Lepisosteus oculatus: one gene and its partners. The protein of the gene in region 1 interacts with the protein of each later gene in a pairwise test. Links are inferred from orthologs where the notes say so. Each region holds a gene or a part of one and is shown in the gene's direction. Other genes may lie near its edges.

Region 1 (8,022 bases):
GGAAAGATAAAGGCAGTGTTCATCTTTAACCGTACCTTGGTTTGTAGGAGCACTGGACTTTAGTTTTGAAATGGGGTTTTCAAAATAGTGTCATGAAATATACTCTTCTCATTTTATTCCGTGCTTCCCTGGAAAGGACTCAAGTGAACACATGGGTGAGCTGTTTCAGGGGAGGTAGGTTTGCTCCTCAGTGCTTATGTGTTCTGAAGCAAGCTTTTTCAGTAGAAAATGACAGTGAAGTACATGTTTTTGATGCAACTGATTTGATTTGCATCCTTGTTTCCTCTGCTGTTCCACTGGTTCAAAGTGAATTATTTGGGTTGAACTTGGTCAAGATGAGTCATCCCTTTTCAGCCTGTGTTAAATCAACACGATTTAGAAGGAAGGTTTGGAGTGATTTCTAGTCATAGTGATTTGTTAAATCCTTACTTCAACTGTATTCTGTAAGCTGAAAACCTCATATCAATATCAAGGATAAAAAGCAATTTTGGACAGAACTGTGGAAGACAGACATGATTGTTGCGAAAGATAGGAGTGTAGTTGAGAGCTGTCCGTCTTTGCTCAGATGGTGAAATATGCCATCTAAACTTGTCTTTCTTTTCAGATACAAGACCTCCAATTGTGATTCAGCCACATTCCACAATCTGCACTTCAGAGTCCACCCAGCTTTCCACAGGCCAAAAGCTCAGCTACGTGACCGAGAACTAACTAGCAGCACCAGCCCTTCGAAAGACTTCCTACCTTGACGTTCGCAGATGCCAATACCTATGTGATTTCCCACACGTTTATGGTTAGGAAAGTTAATGGCATGTGATATGAAGCATAATGTGGCACTCTTGACAAAGAAAAAAAAATGTGTTGGGGAACAATTATTGCCACCATCAAAGTGTAATGTTGCTCTGGTATTGGAAAGCGAATTACTACTGTACCAAAACAGCCCAGTCAAGATGTGAAAGAGTTTCAGTTTATCAGGTCAAAACTTTGTCCAAGTGCCATCCTGATACTGTTGCATGGATAGGTGGATGTGCTCGTGTCTTAAGTGCATGTACCTGATGCATGTCCTCTGTTGTACGTTTTGACCTTGTGCCATGTAACAAGAATCTTTGCCGTGTCTGTAGTTCTCTGGAGTCTCACTTAAGAGGGTTTAAGTGTTTACAAGCTCAAGGTTGTGTTGCTTTTTTTTTCCTAATAAAAAGCAGAAATCACCCAGTCAACCTTTTTTTTAAATGAAAAAAGTAGCACTTTAATTCTACTTTGACCGTTCATTACATTTTGTAGCCCAAAACCGAAAGGTATATGTAGGTGCTATGCTAAAATATAAATGCTTGACCAAAATCAAAACATAATTGTAGTTTTTGATCAAATAACCACCTTGGTTTAAGACACCGAGATCTGTGCCAGTTCCTGAGTGAAGAGAGCATTATAAAACGGCCTCCTGCTTCTGGTACAGAGATCTCGTACCTGTCAGGCCCTCCGTGTAGGATTAAAGTACTTGATTTTAATGGAAATTGGATAAAATTAAAATAGATTTTTTTTGTGAGATTTCAGAGTCCTAAAGAAATGGTTCTGGGTTCTTTTCTACCAAAATGAAAATCTACAGGGCCTTTTTTTTGGAAACCAAAAAGGCATCATAATTAATGGAAAGGATTACCAGCGATGTGCTGGAATGTGTATTTACATTGTTTCTAATTAGTTGTATTGGGTGGATAGTCAGCCTTTGTGTAGTAGCTGTGGAAAGTGTAGTTTTTGGAGTGACTGAGAGGATGGCTTTCTGGGCTCTGGTATTGGTGCTGTACAGAGGCGACAGAGTGGCCTCAGGCTCCATTAGCCTTTGACTAGCAAGAAGGAAGATTTTGGTATGTTAGATATGAGTCACGCCAAGCTCATAGTCATCTGCAGGACGGGGTTATGTGTGCTGACCACTTTATGTCCACAACCTCTTGGAGTGCTGCTACTGAAGGAACTTTGTTTCTGGATTCTGGATCAATCAAAAGAGTTTCAAGCCTTTTGTACTTTTCTTTAAAGTAATGCTGTGTAGTCAGGAAGCTTCACTCGGACAATATATGCAGCATAAAAGACTGCTATGCCAAATGTATGTTTTTTTTGCTTTCTGTGCTACTTGCTGATAATTTAACACTGGTCTACTGTTGTAACAAGAAGGCCATTTTCTTCACATAAATGGTCTAAATGTTTTTGTCTCTGTCCTTAAACTATTGTGAGTATGAGATGAGCGAGGTAGATAACTATTTTTCAGTGCTAGACATTTTTATTGCTTGAACTCTAAACACAAGACTGTGTGCAAATCCTTCTAAGTCCTCCAGCTTATTCATAGTTTGGATATTTAATAAGTATAGTTTTCCATTACTTTTTTTGTACTTTGGGGAGCTGAGCACATTCAGTAAATTTCTGGGTTTTGGTGTCATTGCAGCATTTTTAACAAACTGAATGTTTGCCAAATACTGTTGTTGGCTGTCTTTTTGTATTTTTCAGCTGTATGTTGTGTGGTGCAATGTGGTTTCTCTAATTCTGTGGTTTGCCCATCATCTGTCCCCAAAACTATTTCATGGTTTTATTTAGTGATGATCATGGATTAGGAAACCTAGATTTTAAATGTTGGTCATTTTGATTTTTTTTGTTTTAAATGTGTTTCCATCATCTAACTTATCCCAAATAAGCAATTTAGTATACATGTATCTAGTCTATAAGGCCACTTTATATTGTGCCACAGAGCACAGTTGAAAATGGCAATAATAAAGTGCCCTGATTTCGTAATTTAATTTTGAATTGACTACCCACCTTGAAACCTGTAAATAACAGCATTTATACTTTTTTCATTTATAGTAAAATGCCAATTGGTTTTGTGTCATTAGATTTTGTTATTGATTTGTGACTGATGATGCAGCACTTTAGTGAAATACAGAAGTATCAGTGTTAACAGAATGAGTGCATCAATTAAATAACTTGTAAAACCACAAAGTGCAAAATCCACTTATCTCATAATTCACAGATTTCTTCTCCTGAAATCCGTTTTAAAAATGCACCATCTTAAACTATGTTTAAAGGCAGGGACTGCTGTCAAAAATAAATATTAAAATACCAGCTGCACTAGATGTTAGTCTTGGGCCTCTTTCTCGGGAAAAGGTTCATTCTAGTTAACAAATTTTTAATATGGTCGTGTACAACTGTTTAAAAAAGTAAAATAGATAATTTCACTGGTGGCTTAGAAGGTTTTGCTTTAAGTACAGTATTTACAGTTGGGACCGAGGTTCAAGCACTAGTTAGCTTTATTCAATTTTGAAATTTAACAATGTTTCTGTTTAAATCTATGTAACGGAGGTTATGGCAATCTGTTTGCAAATAAATCATACAATTAACAGTCAGCAATCAATCAATATTTTTGTGGAAATCACGGTTTTGTACTGGCAACTAGCAATCTTAACTACCAATAATTAAGTTAGAAAATGACAGATTCATCTCCACAAGATGTCAAGGCAGATATTTTAAGAATTCTTTCCATTTTAATGTTTACTTTTTAGTTTATATATAAAGTTTAATTTTAATGAATGTATTATGTTTATTGGCAGTTTTGGAGAGCTGACAGTAGCCAAAAAATTGGAATTGTTGTTTGAGGCTTAAGAAATAAGGAGTATCTATGGTAATGTTGGTTATGCTGGCAGAGAAGTCTGTTTGTTTTAGGTTTCTTCACAAATGTTGTGTAAAATACTTGTTTTTTTTGGTCTCGCTGATTATTGTTCCCTTATTTTTCTTTTTCTTATTGTTCCAAATGTCCTTATACAGACCTGACTTGCAAACATGTATATTTATACCACCAAATAAAGGGAGGGGAGGTGGGGTTTATATCAAGTTTGGTGTGGCTCATTTTTTCTTTCGTTACTTAGTGGGTGTCTTCAGAGTTCTGCTTTCAGGAGGCTAAGTAGTAGTACGGTAATAAGATTTTCTCTCTTTTGATTGAATTTTTCTTAATCTTCCTTTCGGAGTTGAAACTCTTGGAGTGTAGTTTTAGTAATAGTCCCTCTCCACACACAGAAAGAGACAACATCTCTATTAATAATGACTGTTAGTCATCAGTTGTACACCTCAAAGTGAGAGCTTTGAAAATTGCAATTCTGATGAAAGACTCAAATGACGTTAGGATCTGCTGGGTGTGAAGACGGAGTTGTTCCAAATCGGATTGGCTGTGTTCCATAAGATCTGGCAAATGATGAGTCATTAATTTTGGAGTCATAACGATTGTATTAATTACCATTTTAAAATGATTTGCAAGGTCAAAATTTGAAGATAAATATAACAAGTCTTGGACATGTGACCGTACGTAATCTGAAATGAAAAATGGATAAAGACATTTCTGTGACGTCTTGGAGATATTTTTTGGAATTGTCACTTGTAAATGTTTTAATTTCCAATAAGCAATGCAATGTTTTACTAGTTTTTTTTAATTAAAAGGGGGTTGGAGGGATAATATTTTCTGTTATAATCCACCTTTTGTAAACTTGTTAAATCACTCAACAGCATAAAGGCTGTCATCTTGCACTGACTTGTTTATATTTTGTTCAATTCTCAGGGCTGAGCTGAAAACCATGATAAGATTATAACCACAGCCAAAGCTTCTAAGGTCAGCTTTAAAGTAGAAATGTTTTTGACTGCTGGGAAGAAGCTGTGAAATATAGTTTTTAATTACGTACTGAAATACAATACTGCAGAGATTTGTTGCAGAGAACAAGGTGATTGAATTGTTAAAGGCCAAGGTTTCATTTGGCATCTCTGATCATGTCCTCTTGTCTTCCTCCCAGTGTTTACGGTTTAAATACTCCATGTCGTTGGTGCTGGCATTTCCAGCAGTCCCTCATGGCTCCGTGACTGAGAAACATCTGATCCAGGCCTGACAAATGGTCTGTCAGTCATTCCCCTTATCACATTTCAGAAGTTAAAAATGGAACAAGGAATGCTGTTCTCCCCCACATCTGAGTGCCATTGGCCAGAGGGGACATCCCAGTCCCTGTGTAGTGTGAGGTTTAGAGAAAAAGTAACTCTAGCCAGAACAAAGTGTTGCTAAAATAACAGAACCATTCTGTTGAAGGCATCGTTGAGGAACAGAGCAGAAGACTGAGGGCAAGAAAGAAATAGGAGGGAAGTGGTCGATAGTTACATTTAACGATTTTCAGAGAGTTGGCCGTGCACTCTTGAGGGGATGAACTTTGCGCTGGGCTACAAACCATTGCTGGGGGACTCGAACACAATGGACAGCTTGGAGAAGCAATTGATTTGCCCCATCTGCTTGGAAATGTTCACCAAACCTGTGGTGATACTGCCCTGCCAGCACAACCTGTGTAGGAAGTGTGCAAATGATGTCTTCCAGGTAAGGGTTTCTTTTTTTTTGTGTAAGTGACTTAGGATTTTCAACATAATGTAATAGTATTAAAGACAGTGGGTGCCAAAATGATGGTAAAGACAAGCTTCCCTTGACCTCTTTGAGGTCTCTTGGGCTTCAGTTGAACTTTTATTTGACAGTATCGCACAAATCATCTGTATTTTCTATCACAGAAGGAGTTGAGAGAGCTGGGTTTTGTATTTTTGGCTCAGTGGATGACGGGAGGACAAACTGTCTGTGAAGAATGTAAACATACTGTCAACACAGTCTCCCGTATGATAACTTAAGAGCCGAGGAGGCTGAAGTTCAACAAACAAAATACAGAAAAGGAAATTCGGGTTAGAGCACAATACACTGTTTGAACTAGCTTATCTGATTTTTTTGCAACCTTTTTGTCCTATTGGAGATTAAAGGTTGAACTAAGATGGTCTTTTTTCAGTTTCCTTCAGCACTCCAGAATGATAAATACTTCATTTCCATTTGCATGCCTCATGGTAGCAGTTCATGGTCGAGTCTTTCCTTTTATTTGTGTATGTTGTCTCACAAAGTTTAGATACCTGCTGGGTTCTTGGTTTCCCTCATGATATAGTTTTTGGTAAGACTACTTTCAAAGTCTAGAACAGAAAGGAACACTCAAGATGTTCTTGAACACAAATTACTGTCAGGCCTCACATCATGTTTCCGCCTTCCTTTCAGATCACTAAACTATTTTATTCTAAGGGCTGTGTAGTGCTTTTGTGGGTATTTCAGAGTGTTCATTTCCTTTCACCTATCAATTTGCTATTATAAATCAATATGTACATTATTTACATAGCATCATTTGAGAATGCACCTTTTCATAAATTGCTTTAACATGCCTAGAACATATATCTTACCTACAGTATAAGGAAATTTGTCTTTGTCTTCACAAGAGTTTATTGAATGGTGCCGCACTGGCAGTAGTAGGGCTCAACATACTTAATGTGAATCTGTGTTAGGTACAACAGCACATTTAATGCCGAGCAACAGTTTACACAGGGGGTGTTGTCACAGCTGCAAAACTGGCAAATTATTATATTATTCTATTTTATAGAGTCAGCTTACCTCTATTTTTAATAGGCGTGACAACAGTATTAGATGTAATAATTTTGTTATCAAATATATGTATTTTAAAATTTTGAGTTAAAGCAGATCAGAATAACATTATACTTCTCACTTTTGTTTACTAATTCTTCTAATTCCTGTGCAATTTCATATAGATTTACTGTATTTCATAGATTTTTTTCTAATTATTTTCTGTGAAGATTTGTGATAATAGGGTTGTGTGATAGTTATACCAATATGGATATTTACCTCGCCATTGAACATCTTTACCATCTAGCAAATAGAGGCTAATAACTAAGGTTAAATAATAGTTTGCATATGCCACCTGTTGATTGGCTCCAGTCTGTCTGCCGAATTATGCAGGGTGAAGACTTACAGGGCAGTTGGAGGGATTAGTTGGCCTACAATAACCCAGTATCACTATGGCAGAACTGTAAACTGGAATGAATTAAGTAGCTGTAGTGGGCTAGGCACAGAAAATCGATGCTGACAATCTACACCCACATATACATAACTTCTTTCCTGGGAGTGGGAGTTTAGCAGTGACCTTTGTGAAAGATGTCTAAGCAAGGTAACTCAAATAGCAAGTTAAAAGATGAACAGCTGGTCCAGGTTTTCCAACAAGACCAGCTTCGTACATCAGATGTAGGGTCTTCCATAATGCTTACTGTCACCCCCTGAGATGAAGAAACTTGACACTGTGAGTGACTTTCACATTCAAACAGACCGAAACTCCTCCTGTTTGAAAATTGAAAACCTAGTTATTTTTGAGCTCGGAAGAGACCAGAGGTATTTCAATACTAAGTGGGTATATTCTAATCAAAGGTTCAGTGCAATAATTTTTGTAATTTAGCTATTACAGGATAGCAGGTTGTCCTGTGGAGGGTTATACACAAACCAGCATTACTTCCCAATGTGCTATGTCTCAAGGATAGGTCTGTGTTTCAGGGGTCAAGTGATGGAATCTTTGGATTGTACAAGACCTTGACTCATCGACTAGTCTGTTACAAATTTGAAAAAACACAAAACAATTTGTGTTGATGTGTTAGCTTTATAGGCATTATCTTTCTTTTAGGTTTGTCTTCAACTTATTTTACCTATAAAATATAAAATTGTGCCAGGAAAGAAGAACCCATATGACCATGCTCAGATGACCATAGAGGCATTTTGTTTTATATTTAACATGTCATTTGATTTACATTATTACATTGATAAGACATGGCATAATGCTTGATTTAGAACATTAGTCACCCTAATTTATAATAGTAAGTGACAATGTGAGATCTGTTCATAATTAGCATGTCACAGACACCTTACACAAACATGTTATATACTTATATATCATATTTTCATTTTTTTTAATGAAAAAGACATCAGTACTGAAGTCTACTCAGCCCAGTGAAATGTCGTGCCTTAAACATACCCTTCATGTTGATATTTCTGGATTAAGATGCTGCACCAAAGTTTTCAAAAACGTTAAAGATAAAACCTGACAGTTGCACTCTCACTCTGTAACCATATGTCTACACTCTCAGGCTGCCACAGAAATA
Region 2 (7,249 bases), on another chromosome or scaffold:
CTACATCCGAGTTCGGAACTAAGGCTCCTCGCTCCAAGTTTTTTTTTTCCCCTCACCTTTTTTGGGGGGGGAGGGGGTTTCTGCTGAAAAGCCAACTTCACAGCTTCCGCAGCCGATTCTGGCTCTTTGTTTAAACTCTTCTTCGAGTCGGTCTCTGACAGCACCACAAAAAAGTGGTGGCATTTTTCACATTTCACGAAGCGGGTTGAGGCTAGAACACAAAAAAAAATCAACAAACAAAAAGTTTACAGCAGGATGGATTTGACCCCCATCTTCAGGCTGGATTGAATTAAAGCTTTGGCCTACCTGCACACCACATTCTTTGGAAAACACAGCTTCATTTTTTGGAAACGCAGCTTCATATGAAATCACTCTGTACTGTAGTGATGCTTCCACTACCAACTGTAAATCTCAGTACGCTCATTCTGAAACCTACAGTCAATTTTTGTTTCAGATTTCCTTCCTTCAGCCACAAACTACTGGATTCCAGCGACAATGCATGAAAACAGTATCATTGCATCACTAGATAGATAAATATTAAAATTTAAAAAAAGCCTTCACCAGTCACCTAGTTACTGAATACAGGCATAACCAGGCCCAGCTTCTCAGAGTCAATGAGAACATACCACAAAGTGATGAAGTCATTGCAGATATAATTCTGAGGAAGGGCAAACTTGACTTATTCAGTCAGTATTAATGTTCTGAAGAAGTGTCGTCTGCTTGTCTTTGTTTTTTACACAGATCTAATACTCCTAAAATAACACTTACAGACAAAGGTTTCCACATGAGTGCATGGGTCCCCACACTTAGGACAGTGCAGATGATTTCCTCCTTTTCCTGAATTTCCAGATCCTGTGGACCTTTTCCCACTGCCTTCGCCAACGGATTTCTGGTTTTTAACAAACATTAAGAGAAAACGATCAGAAATGAAGATGTGTTTTTCAGATGTACTAAAAAAATTTAACATTACACACCCAATACAGCATTTGACCACATGGACGAAGGGATTTTTTTGTTAAAAAGCTTGACGTTCACTTCTGTGATCAGAACGAGAACAAATGAACTAGGATTACCTTTCCCCCATCTCCAGGACCATCTTTAGCTGAGCTATCCTTTGATGCAAAATACACAGCTGTCTCTGAAAACGACCGGACAGGCAGTCTCCTTGCCAAGTGAACTTCTTGTGCCCCTGGTCTGGTCAATGTATATAAGTGCATCCGAGAGCAGGAGATTCCTGTAACACAAGAGATTAGCAAACGGAGTGAGATCCTGTTGGAGGAATGCACTGGGTTTTTATTATTTAAGTCAGAGGATATTCCTGAACCAACACACCACCAGGTAAGCCTACGTTGATCTCGAGGCTAGAAAATTCACATGACTTCCACTTAAGAAGACGTCACACCTAGCACTTTTCTTCCAGGAAAAAAAAAATGATTACAGCACAAGCAACAATGAACCAGGAACACATAATGAAAGAATGGGTAAAATATCAGTTACAATGCTATATCACCATGACAAGAGAACTGTTTCTTGACCTATTTTAAATAAAAACAAAGAAAGCCTTTATAGTTCTTTGTTGATTGTTTTTTTATTGCAACTGTTGTGCTAGACTGTAACAGAAACATTTCCCCGAGGGGATAATTAAAAAGCTTCATGCACAGGTTCGTCAAGAAAGTCGCCATTTCTGTGAAAAAATACAGAATACTAGAATTTTTTTTGAAAAGGTGTAGTTAAAGGTTAACGTTAACTAATTTCATATTCAATTTTATAAAAGAGGAATGCAGATATTGTAGTGCTCTATCACATTTTAAACACGCGAATCGCCTGATAATGCACATTAGCACAGAAGCGCTCAAATTTCTGAGTTGCTTTGACCGAGTACACCAAACTCACGGCTCACAGGAGTAAGGCTTAGACATATTCTTAATAGTTACAATAATTTTTAACAGACGCCCAAAGACTAAATTGGTGTATTCATTGTTTTTTTTATCAATGGTTTTAAGGTGTTGCCAAGTGCTTTCTTCCAATAGCAAAAATAAAAATCAAGCAACAGTATTCTGGCAGGTAAATTCTCATGCTTATCAACAACGACGCAGAAGAACATCAAAATGGTACTGACAATAGGTCGGGAAAGAAAGTACAAACGAGAAACATCGTATTACAAAAAGCTCTACATGAAATACTGTAGATGTAAATTGTTAAAACTCAATAACTAACACGCATTTCGCATTTCCCAGATATTATAATGCAGCAAAGTGTGTAAAGGCAGGAAAGCAATCTACTCAAATACACGGATTATAATATAATACCATTTCCAAAAAAGCCATATGTAAACCAAATAGGAGGAAAAAACGTTTCAGAAGAGTTACCTTTATGAGCGGAATTCATTAGCAGTCTCGCGGCTGCAGAACACGTGCAGGACATAGCTGCTCACTGGTGTCCTTTACTTTAAGAAAAAAGTCCAGTCAGAAAATAAGAAGTATATTAACTCCGCACTACAGCCTTGTAACAGCACGTTCTGTTCCAGGAGTGCCGATGTTGACAAATTGTTGGTAGGCCACAGCCCGTCAACACCGAAACACAAACCAACGAATAGCAAGAACATATAAAACCGCGTCTAAAACGTTAAGACAGCACCGTTTCCCGTGACTGCAAATGTACACAATGCAAACGATGAGCAGTCGGTGTGAAACAGAAACAACAATATGGTCAAAAAGCCGTTTCTCAGGTGGCCTCAACGACAACAAACTATCCCGAAGCTACAGCTCCACACCGAGGAAAGAAATCCGTCGAGTCACGGCGTTTTAAAAGGAGGTTCCGGCTCGGACGAGGCTGTTTGTTTGTCTAGCGGAGTACACTTCGCAAACGTATTTCACGGGGAAAAAAATATTTTTTCCGTGCTATAAAGTGACACTGTATTGCACTCAGTGTGATGTAACCCCCCTACCGCTTCAATCTAGGTCAGCTAGGTATGGAGCTAACTGCACGAACCTGCCAGTGTTACGTAGCTGTTTGGGCTACATCACATGTCACAAAGGGGTGGAGAAAATAGTTAAAAAAGTGCAACTTTAGTACTGTAGTGCGAAGATGCTGATGGTTGTTTCGTGCAGTGGGGGGGGGGGGGGTGTGTGTGTGTACCATTAGAGTTTTTTTTAAACTAAAGACAAACTGCAAGAGTCATAGCACGTTTGTGTTTCCGTTTCGGCGACGTGAATTCATGTTAGCAGAACTGTCAAGTGAAATGCTGTGCTTTCGAAACAGTGTTTGGTAATGTAAACTGAAGTGTTTTCAAACCTCTTTTTCTAAAAACTCCTCATGTTTAGCACATTTTAAACATGAATGCACGTACACTATTTCCAATTCACGGGGAATCCGGAGGATCACGGCAAGTAACGGCCCCAAAGTGGAGTACCCTCTGGAAGCCAGTCCACTGCAGGACACACACAGACAGCAGGGACACGTTTCCAAAAAAGCCATTTAACCGGAGCCAGAAGCCAAAAACCAGAGCACCAGGAAGAAACCCATGTGAACAGGTGGAAAACACACAGACTCCAAGTAAACAGCACCCACGGTCCAGAATTGAACTGAGTGAAGCGAGACAGCAATTAGGATATTTTCATCTACTTTAATATATATATATATGCTGCACAGTAGTAGTACCCAGACTACAGTTTGCTGTAAATCAGTGGTTTCTATTTCTGGTCCTGGGGGAACACTGTACCTGCTGGTTTTCATTCTGTTTGCATTTTAAACTTAATTTTAAACAGATTATTTACAGTAACTTGTTTCTTTGGTCAGTCCAGAGTTTCAAAAGAACATGCAACTTACTTCCAAGTGCGCAGCTAAGTGGAAACTATATGGGGGTGCATTTAATACCGAATAAAGGAGGCACCTTTTTACCCACAGGGTTTTGGGAATCTGGACTACCCAGCCATACTGTTGAAGGCAATACCCTGGCGTCTTTCAAGAAACGGCTGGAACAGCCAACATATCTGTTTGAGGAAAGTTCTGAAACTCAGAAACTGGTACAGAGTGAGATATCCCTATTACAAATCCCATTCCACCTTTCAAGACCTGAAAATAAATGTACCGTTCTGCCCCCAAATAGTAAACTCAAATCCACAAACAAGCCTGCGATGAAGACCTCGCCTGGAGAACAAACAGGAGGACGCGGTGTTCGTCCAGGACCAGGGCTGCACATCACCGCCTGTTTATCCAAGAGTGAAAAATGTCGCTATATCTTTAATGAGCGTCAGGGTCAACGTGAAGCCTTTCTGGTCCGCGCAGAATCAGTGCGCAGATCGCGGAAGTGCCCTGCAGTGTGTGTGTGTGTCATGTGACTTTGGGAAGAGAGGAGTAGCTCTCTGCGAATCCAGGGATTTGAAAGTGTACGACAGAGAGGGGCTGGATGGTACCAAAAACAAACACGGTAATTTTCTTTGTGCTTTATGTTTTTTTCTTTCGAAAGATACGATGGTTAACCTTTTTTCAAAGACGTCCGCCCCTACGTTTGGTGTGTGTGTTCTTTTATTAATACGTTGAAAGTTAGGATCTCTGTTATTGTTGCTGACGGTAGAACTCAGTTTTACCCTATCCGTACGAAGTTCACAGTTTTTGGACCACTTTCGCAGTTTTTCTTTTAAGAAGAGAAAGTAACTTTTAATGCTATTCAGGGCACACTGGTACGCCAAAACGGTGCGCATCTGATTCGTGTATGTGTCTGCAAAAACATGACTGGAATAAAGCTCCTTTGAGCTCGTGAAAGCTGCGTGGTTTTTAGATGTTTGTGTAATATGTCCTGTTCTACGACTCAATGAACCATATCTCGGGAAGCGCTTTTACCCAAACATGTTTTTAAAACTGAATCACTGAAGTGGATTTCTTGCATTCAGCTCATAATCAAGCCCAATCACTGAAATTCATTGCCGAGTGTTGCCAAAACCTCTCTCAGATACTTTTAAGCACATGTGAACACCTATTTCCCCCCCGTATATGTTATGAGAAAGTCGTTTAAATTCAGAACGATTCAATTTTAAATTTTGCTATCAACATAGAAAAAGGAAAACAGCTGCTCGAAAAAGTACCGAGTAAAAAAAAGACGTTCACAGCGGCTACATTATAGTAATCTAAAGTATATTCTCCAGAACTATTACTATTAACCACCTGTTTTATTGTTTCCCGAAAGCTATGTTTGACTGGCACACGCGCTAAATGTAAAGTTGTGTTCTTACAGTTGTTGTTAGGGCTATGGTTAGATAAACATTTTATAAAGCGAGATGTTTTTTTCCCCAGACCAGTTGTAACAAAATATCAGAATTAAAGGATTGCAATTATTCCAGTGATTTGTCATCAACTCTAATAGTGACACAGGCTGGGGTTGAATATGCTGGGTGACCGGTGAGGGTTACCTGATGTGAATTCTTCAAGAGAATAACTGCAAAAGGTCACTTGCTAAACCATTCATGTCCCCCGTTACAGAATATTATTTCATCATGATAAAGATCTGTCAGACACTGTGCTTAAAGCTTTAAAAGCAGGGGCAGTGTAATCAATTTAATATCTCAAGCCGTATTATAATGACAAAGTGAAATAGAGAAAGCTTTGGTCACGATGGCCTTTTTCCACACAAATCATGTGGTGAGAGTGACAGATACGCTGTCAGTCTATCCTCACATGGTGAAATCTGAACTGTCAATAGCTTAGTGATGCCAAGCCAAAAGAGCCTTTTTTTATTCCTGACTTTCAGTTCTTGACATCTTTGCAGGTCAGCCATAGAATGTATAGATTTTTTTCCCTTGGTACATTCATCACCAGAGTCGGTTTATTTGTGGATATGTGTTTTTTGTGTTGTTATTAAGGCAATATTGAGCAACGTCCTTCCTCCTTCCAAGCCATGGAGGAGATAAGAGTGTCTCCTGACTACAACTGGTTCAGAAGCACAGTTCCACTTAAAAGGGTAGGTTTCTTCTCTCTCATCCTGTCTTTTCAGGTTTGGTTCTTGTAAATGAAAAACTCAGCAAAGAAAGTAAAACTCTAAGAGCCAAAAATACTTTCTTGTAACTTCCCTCGGTGAGCTTGTGGTTTGTCAGCTGTTATTCACAACATGGAATTCAGAAGCTAAACTGTACCACAGAACAAGCAATCTGCATCACAGGTGCTAGGTTACTTGTTAAAGAATAACTTATTAACTACTTTTAATATTTATTATAGTCATTTTTCAGTTTTCTTGTTCTGTGCAGCTCTTTACCAGGAGTTGAAGAATTGCTCATGAGAGGCTGATTTGTTTCAGCAGTTATCTTAGGCTGCAATCTCCTTTTTGCAACATGTTGGCAACGTGTGATTCTCATGTGACCTAAGCACACTTTTTTATAACGTGTAAAAAAAATAGTTCTCAAAAACCACTCGAGATGAGTGCTGCCATTCAGAAACTAGGTGACAAAGTACACATGGCAGACGGTTAGGCTGTGCTCCTAGATTTTCATTACAATTGGAAGAGCCCTCAGACTCATCTCACCCTGGTGTGAGTCAGTTTGGACGGTGGGGGAGGGACATGGTCTTTGTTCACCTTTCATGTGTTAAACAGTACCTTTGGAGTCTGTGTAATGTTTCCCACAGATTATCGTGGATGATGACGACAGTAAGGTTTGGTCCCTGTACGATGCAGGGCCAAAAAACATAAGGTGTCCCATCATATTCCTTCCACCTGTGAGTGGCACGGCGGATGTGTTTTTCCAGCAGGTTCTGGCTCTGACGGGATGGGGTTACCGGGTGATCTCTGTGAGTATGCCGTCGGCTGCTTTCCTCTGCATCTGTGCAGCTGTGAGATTCTGGTGGCGTGGTGCGTTACAGTTCACAGACCTATCCATGCCCTTGTTGAATATGAGCTAAAAGTTGATTTAGCAAAGAAAGCTCAGGTGTTCATGTACAGTATGAGTTCTATATTCAGTACATCAATAGTGCAACTGTAAAAACAATTGGTATTTGTCAATTCACAGTGTTAAAATGTACAGAGTATTGCAAATAAATGTAAAGAATGTTGCATGTAAATATGTTGAGAACTGTTGTGGGAAATCCTTCATCCAAGGAGCAGGACACAGTCTTTGTGGATTCAGTTGTTTTATTGAGCTCAATAATGACATCAACACGCGTTGGGTCTGCCCTGCAGGACAGACAAACTGCAAGGGTTTCCCAGCTCTTATATACAGTAAGATATATCAGGAAGGGCGGAGCGGTGGCTCTGTGGCTAAGG
Region 3 (6,962 bases), on another chromosome or scaffold:
AAGGACAGAGTTAAGGAACTGAACCTAAGGACAGAGTGTTCAGGCATTGAATAAGAAGGAAACACATTTTTCTGAAATACTTTTGCAACATTCTTAAAGTCCTGAAGTTATTAATTTAATCTTCTAATTTTCTGATGATCGTGGGAGATTCTCATTTAATGATGTTGCACCTGCAGTGTCAGGTGTGCATCAAGAACTCAGTGGGGGTGCGCTCTCAAGTGAGCATATTTGTGTCATAACTGGTTACATGGAAAGTGTTAATTCTCCAGTGGAAATGTAATAAAAAGAGATAAAAAGAAATGAAGATTATCAAATGCAGCAATAAAGATGTTACCAGATTTCAGCGCATTTATTCTATAACCCAATACCCAGTAAAGACATACCAGTGTGTTATTGGTTAACAGTGAATAGCACGAAACAAACCAAATTACAAATTCTTTCCCTGATGCATTCTTTGTGCTGTTTCACTGGCATTACAGTGAAGAATGTGGGTAGTCTAATGTCTAAACCTGCATGGGACAATGGGACAGTCATCGGGCAACCTATACTACAGTGCAGAGGGGTCTGTAGTCAGGACATCAGCGTAAATATATTTCCCCTGAAGGACAGCACCTCCTCACAAACAACAGAGATCTACCTCAGTTCATGAGGCTGCAGAGTAGTGGCATCAAAAGTTTTCACTACTATATCCAAAATTGACAGTGCAGCTGGGAGGAGGATGGAGTCTAATATGCATTAATTTCCAGTGTGAAGAAGCTGAAGTCACGGTCTGTTTCAGACTCCCTGAAGTTAAGGAAGGTAAGGTTACTTTTGCAACCATGGTAATCTCAGCATTTCTCTTGGAATTTCCAATTACATATTTCAAGGTTTCTGCTTCCAGCCTATCATTAAACATGAATGTTGCAACCTTCTTGAAGCTTTTAATGATCAGCAGTCTGTGTTACAAATTTCCAAGGCTTTGGATCAAAACAACCTTAATTCCTGGGGCTTTGCTTTCACACACTCATTCTTGATTTAAAGTCAGGAGCCTTTGGAGTCTTTATTTTAATGACAGGTATGTGACTGTACTCTCTGAAGGTGGCATCTCTATCCACCAGCAATGTGTTAGCATTCTCTCTGTTTCTCCTTAAACCCATGGCAACACAATGCCCCACCAAAATAATGACCAAAATGAACAGCTCTTTAATTTTCATTGCGGAGAGAGTGAGATGGTAGATAATTGAATTATTTGCAGGTCTGAAGCAAAATTACCTGCTGCTAATTGTCAGCAATATTCCTGCTTGGCAGAGGCTGAATCAATGTTCTGTGGTCAGCGGTATCCTAATAAGCAATTTGAGTCTGTTTCCTTACCAGCAGTGTTAGTTCACTGGAGGAGCTTGTGTTGCACGGTCACTAACACTTTGTAAAGTGAGTAGACGGTGTTTAGTTACAGATGGCCTTGGGAGACAAGCCTGCTTACTGCACGTGCATCAGACACCCCATATCTGAGGGAGAGATTTTCTCATGTGTCAGTTTTCCTCCTCTGCCAGACCTAAATCAAAATAATGCTTCTTGCCTCACAAGGAGCTGGAGGACAGGGAGAAACTTAAGCACAGAAAAACGCACGGGAGGGTGCAGGTGAGAGGATGCCTATAAGTTCAGTTCACTTGACAGAGTAGACCTAAAGGGAAAGTTAGCGATTGTGATGCCATTGGGCTCATGGAATGTACAGGAAAAGGAGTACCTGTCAAGAGATCCAGTAGCAATGATCCCATTGTATTCAAGATATGGTATAAGTTTAGTAAAGAAATGAATTCACTTTCATTTAGTTAAAAAATGAATGAATTTTAAAGATTCATCCAGCTATTTATTGTTCTGTTTCTCTGACACAAATGGATTCCCTTGTGGTTTCCAGCTGTGAGCCAGTGTCTTTGTTCCCTAGGTTGACCCTTAGGTGTTGACTTGAATCAAATCTGCTCTCAATTTCCCTTCTTCCAGGTTTAAGAGCTTTAGTTCCTTGAACCTGACCATATATGAAAATCCTTTTAGAGCAGTAATGATACTTGTTGCTGTTCTTTGAACTCTTTCTAAATCTAGATAGTTTTTTTCATGATATGGAGCAGATTACTATCTCTTAAATGAGGTTTTACTATTGCTCTGTAAAACTTGTATACAGAAACCTTTGGTTCAGTGGACGTGTATAAGTGTTTTGCAACGTCATTGCTGAACCCAACTGTCTTTTAAAAATAGAATCCAAGTTGCAAAGATAGATATCTCATCTGGATTACTAGTGGTTGTCTACAGGATGGCGGCTGTTTTAATGGTGTCTCAGTGGGTCTTGCTCTGTTGATTAAATGAAAATACCTCACTCCGCTCTCACTCTGCTCTCTAGGAAAGCAGTGGAGATCTGTGCACCTTCTGGAGTCCCACAAGAAATTCAGTACATCCCTTTGTTCCATTTACCATGTCAGAGAGATTTTGGTCTGGGCAGTCCTCTCAGGTTTGTGAATAAGTGACCACTGTACTTGTTGATACAAGTGCAGCAAGTGTGAACTGAACTTTCAAATTTGCACACCAAGTAAAATACCATATCTTTGTGGACCATGATATGACACACACACACAGACACAAACACAGTCGCACACACACTCCTAGAAACCAATTAACCTCCTTGTGTGTCTTTGGGCTGTGGGAGGAAACAGGAGCACCCATAGGAAACCTACATAGAAAGAACACAGGGAGAGCACCCCAGGTCTGGAACTAAAGCAGGGCCCCAGCCCTGTGAGGAAACAATGCTAACCACTGCACCACTGTGCCACCTTGTCGATACTGAATCATAATAAAAAAGACTGAGTCAGATTCTGGCGCAATCGCTACAGGAGTTTGTTTAGACAGCAGGTTGAGCCTGGTGGTGTGGACAACCTCAGCCAGATGACTGTCATGTTCTGTCTTTACCCTCTTGCCAGCAAAATTCTGCAACCAGTGGTGCCCAGATGCCCAGTCATGACCAGAGCTGGGCAGGACTGAGGCAGCTGGGTTAGACATGGCAACACTGGTCCTTCAGGCTCATCATAAAAAAATCCCATAGAAACTACATTTATTATGCTGGAAAGGACCGTTCGTAAAGCTATGAAAGGATTACAGTCTGGTACATTCTAGTCTAGTTTCACTGTCTAGTTTCTTATGGGAAGTTAATGAGCTTGCCAAACTAACACACTTTGAACAGAGGACTGACACAACCATTATTGCTTATCTTTGGGCACATTGATGAGCAGCTGGGCTGCTGATGTCCAGTACAGCAGGGGTCTCCCACTAGACCCCATGGTGTCTATTTCTGTCCATCTTGGCCCATCAGTACTGCCCATTCCGAGCCTCTGGGGGCACAGGCTGGATTTGAACCTGGAAATCTCCTGGCAGTCAGACACTATTCTCCACTCCAGACAGGGAGTTACCAGAAGAGAATCTGCCTTCCTGTTACACACAGAATTTGAATTCTTCTTCTGCGCGGTCACTACACTTAGAGAGGGTCTCGTGAAAGTCTGAACGAGAGAGGAAATGCTATTTAATTGCTGCTTTTTTGACAGAGTTCTGAGATTAATCTGACAGACCACAAAATACATCCGAATTATTATTCTGTATTCTTATTAAGTCAATGATTTGTTTTGAAATAGTGGAATGAGTGAATTTTTAAACCAATATAGGCAAAGAAATGGCACATTTTCACTTATAAATGGGTGACTTCTTCATTTTTACCGTCAAAAACTAGCTCCCCTGTTGTACTGTTTTCTCCCAAAGCAACAAGATGGAACAAATGCATTCAGCAAAAATAAGCATTTTGCAATTGCGCAGGGAAAAAAAGCAACTTCATCGTGGGAATGATTTTCCTGTGGCCGATTCCAAAAACAGATGACAACACCTCATACCTGAGAAAGGAGTGTTTAGGGAGTGGAGCAATAAAGAGTATTGACAACAATTATTCCAGTACTCTTCGTGGAAGTCTGATGTTACAAAGGCAACCTCACACTGCCACATCGGATAAGACGGAATACTGTGAAGAAATGGATCTTTAATTCAAATCCACTCAGCTGCTACTCTTTTCAGCTAACATTTACTCCTGATTTTTGGGGTTGTTCCGTGGACACTGTGGCCAGAGAAGACCGCAGTGGACAGAAACGATGATGGAGTATGAGCTGTACGCAAAGGTAACTCCCTCTGACTTCTCTCTCTTGTGTTTACAGCAATATCTCAATTTACATGGGATTTAGAAATCAGTATTTGTATTTACAAATGTGTGGTTGCTGTCACAGACAGTGACGGCCAGTGATTTATCATGGCGGGTTAATTCGTAAAGAAATCTATTGTTTAGGTGAAAGCTGTGAACACAGGATACATTTGACTACTCTGTGATACAGTCTGGCTGTGGCACAATGCCATGTCTTTCTACAGAGATCCACGAGTAAGGGTGAGAAACCTTAGTGTTTTTGACCAGCAGCAAATTTTCCTCAAACGGACCAGCTGTTTTAAAGTTGTCCTGCAACGTTTCCCATTTTCTCACCTTTGCCACCTTTCACCAAGATGTTGAAGAACAAGGAGTAATACTTTTGATTATTTTTCTCCATGTAGCAAAAAATATGCTTTCCAATGAATTCAATAATTATTTTCAATAATTCAATTAAGATATATATTGTAATTATATCTCTTTGAGACTAAATTTTAAATGTAGTGCAGGATATACTGTACTTACTATGGTCTGTTGAGATAATACCTAAACATAACTTGCACTCAGGCGGTAAAAAGTTATGCGAGACTACATCATCATCAGTTTCGCAGTGACGCCGCGGCCTGTGCTGGTCCTTCCACAGTCCACAGACACGCTGCCCAGTCCTAATGTCCCCCTGTCCTTGTATGTGTCCTGCGAAGATGCCTACTCCAGGTGTAGTGCCACCTACAGTGCGCCCTTTGCCTACTCAGGCAGTTCAGCTCAGCTCAGGCTTGCCGCGACCCTCTTAGGATAAAGTGCTTATTGAAAGAGGATGGGTATTAACTTTGTGATGTATCCTGTACACGCAGCTTGGTGTCGCACGAAATAATGAACAAAAATCCCCAGATCCAAAACATGTACCTTTGTGAATCTCCAATTAGAAACGTCATATGGGTAACGTGTTCAGCAGATCTCAGATCCGAGCGACAACACCTCAGCTGCTTCTACGCGCTACGGCGCTTCACGGGCAGACCGAGTAACAGGTGGGAATGCCGTAACGCGGCTCGCGGCGCAGTGGTGCCGAATGGGTAAGTCGCTCGCGGCGGCTGCTCCGTGCTCGCGCTGGGACAATGCGGAAATGCGCTGAGCTGGGAGAGCCAGCAGGTGTCTGTAGTCCGGGAAGGGTTTCGACAGGAGCGAGCTGCAATGAGATTACAGCTAAACGGCACGCAAACATGACCGAGTCCATGGACACGAGGGAGAAGTAAGGAGAGCAATTGCGTGGCTACTTTTTTCTCCCTCCTTTTTTTTTTTACTTTTTCGTTTGCCTCCCTCTCTCGGTCGCTTTTTTTTTTAAACTGGTCATTTAACACTTAGCTCACCTTCAGCTTGCGTCCATACCTGCGCTGGGAGCGGCGTGCGGGGAGGAGCAAAGAGTGGAGGAGTGTTTAACACTTGTGTTTTCAGAAGACGAAGAATTAAAAAAAAAACCAAGAAGCCTAGCCTGTTTTAAAGAAAAGGGATTCATCAGCACACACACACACAAAAGATAATAACTAGAAAAAGAAAAACAATCTTTCGTTCTGGAGTTATAAACCTGTGCCTACGCGAAAATGGCGACCGCCGGACAGTCATCTCTCTAACCGGGGCAATACTTTAAATGGGAATATATGCGTTTTTTTTCCATAATAACAGCTGAGGAATTGTGACCAGGCTACATGGTCCTGTTTCTTTTGGTGATCAGAAGGTAACCCATCTCCGCGGAAAAAATGTCAGTCAACGAACTCTATACAAAGGTGAGTACGCATATTGGTGGAACAAGTTTTCGTCAGGCTTCAGGAAGGAGAGATTCGGGGTTTAAGTTCGGGGAGATCTGTGAAAATGCGCACAGAACGGGCTGATATTTTCTCTGCGCCTTCGGCACAGACTAATATTACATATGACTATTTTAGAGACCGCATGGCCGAGATCTCTCCTTTTTTATCCTTCTACTTGCGTGGCTCAGTGTTGCGATGAAAAGAATAAAGTACAAATGGAAGAAAATAGATGTTTCAGATAAGCGCCGGGTGCTTGGCTGGCAATCGATTACATTATTAACCGTGTCCTCTCTGATTTTTATTATTGTTTTTAACGACATTCTGTAACTTGCTGTGATGATATTATTCAATATTTCAGATGGGTGGTTTCAAAATGACTATTTTCAGGGGAAATAGTGAGAAATATTTAAAACGGGGAATACACATCGTACTTGGTTTTCATTAAATGTAAAAGCAAGAAAGTTTTAAGATGCGAGTCGGTCATCGATCTCCCTGGCGAAGAAGAGGACTTACATTTCTGTGGGTTTTATTTCAGCGAGGAGTATCGCGAGGGAGGCTACAGTTTTGAGACCACGGTGATCAATGGTGTCATTATGTAACGTCGCGCTTTTGTGAAATAGGTCCTGGCGTGTGGTGAAGTTGGAAAAAGAGCGGAACTTTGCTCTTCCGTTCTTCGACATTATTGTAGCCAGGTTACTGCAGGAGAGCAGGTGCAGTTCTCCGAGTTGGTTTCGTTGTGGTTTCGCTGTCACATTAGGGAGTGTGTGCAACTTCCTTATATTCTAGCGCTTACGTGCTACAACAACAATAACAACAATTTTGTGCTCTGCTTTTTCATCCTCGGACATTTATCTTCAAGCTAAGTGACATGTTTCTGTTCTGGTGCTCTGTTTGGTTGTGTACGCTTTGCATCGGTTTCCAGAGTGCAACTCTAAAGCAATGTCAGTGAAAGCCTAATAGTCCAT

Evidence for each region. The genes of interacting proteins can lie anywhere in the genome.
Region 2: the proteins of trim54 (region 1) and spg21 interact in binary tests that used the Homo sapiens proteins (3 or more experiments, as listed by UniProt). The two-hybrid records come from large-scale screens. The link is inferred for Lepisosteus oculatus from reciprocal best matches to the Homo sapiens genes TRIM54 and SPG21.
Region 3: the proteins of trim54 (region 1) and myo5b interact in binary tests that used the Homo sapiens proteins (3 or more experiments, as listed by UniProt). The two-hybrid records come from large-scale screens. The link is inferred for Lepisosteus oculatus from reciprocal best matches to the Homo sapiens genes TRIM54 and MYO5B.

What each region holds. Positions count from the first base shown.
Region 1 is NC_090697.1:57,978,690-57,986,711, reverse strand, and holds the start of trim54 (tripartite motif-containing protein 54), read left to right. Parts: upstream 1-4,968; 5' UTR 4,969-5,209; coding exon 5,210-5,377; intron 5,378-8,022. Other genes in the region: dnajc5ga (dnaJ (Hsp40) homolog, subfamily C, member 5 gamma a), read left to right, coding at 605-708. UniProt on the Homo sapiens protein: May bind and stabilize microtubules during myotubes formation.
Region 2 is NC_090700.1:49,310,156-49,317,404, reverse strand, and holds the start of spg21 (maspardin), read left to right. Parts: upstream 1-4,230; 5' UTR 4,231-4,245; coding exon 4,246-4,429; intron 4,430-5,858; coding exon 5,859-5,956; intron 5,957-6,615; coding exon 6,616-6,777; intron 6,778-7,249. Other genes in the region: clpxa (caseinolytic mitochondrial matrix peptidase chaperone subunit Xa), read right to left, coding at 57-211, 769-889, 1,074-1,234, 2,370-2,424. UniProt on the Homo sapiens protein: May play a role as a negative regulatory factor in CD4-dependent T-cell activation.
Region 3 is NC_090698.1:15,109,206-15,116,167, forward strand, and holds the start of myo5b (unconventional myosin-Vb), read left to right. Parts: upstream 1-3,943; 5' UTR 3,944-4,154; coding exon 4,155-4,181; intron 4,182-5,162; exon of another isoform or gene 5,163-5,949; coding exon of another isoform or gene 5,950-5,976; intron 5,977-6,962. UniProt on the Homo sapiens protein: May be involved in vesicular trafficking via its association with the CART complex. The CART complex is necessary for efficient transferrin receptor recycling but not for EGFR degradation.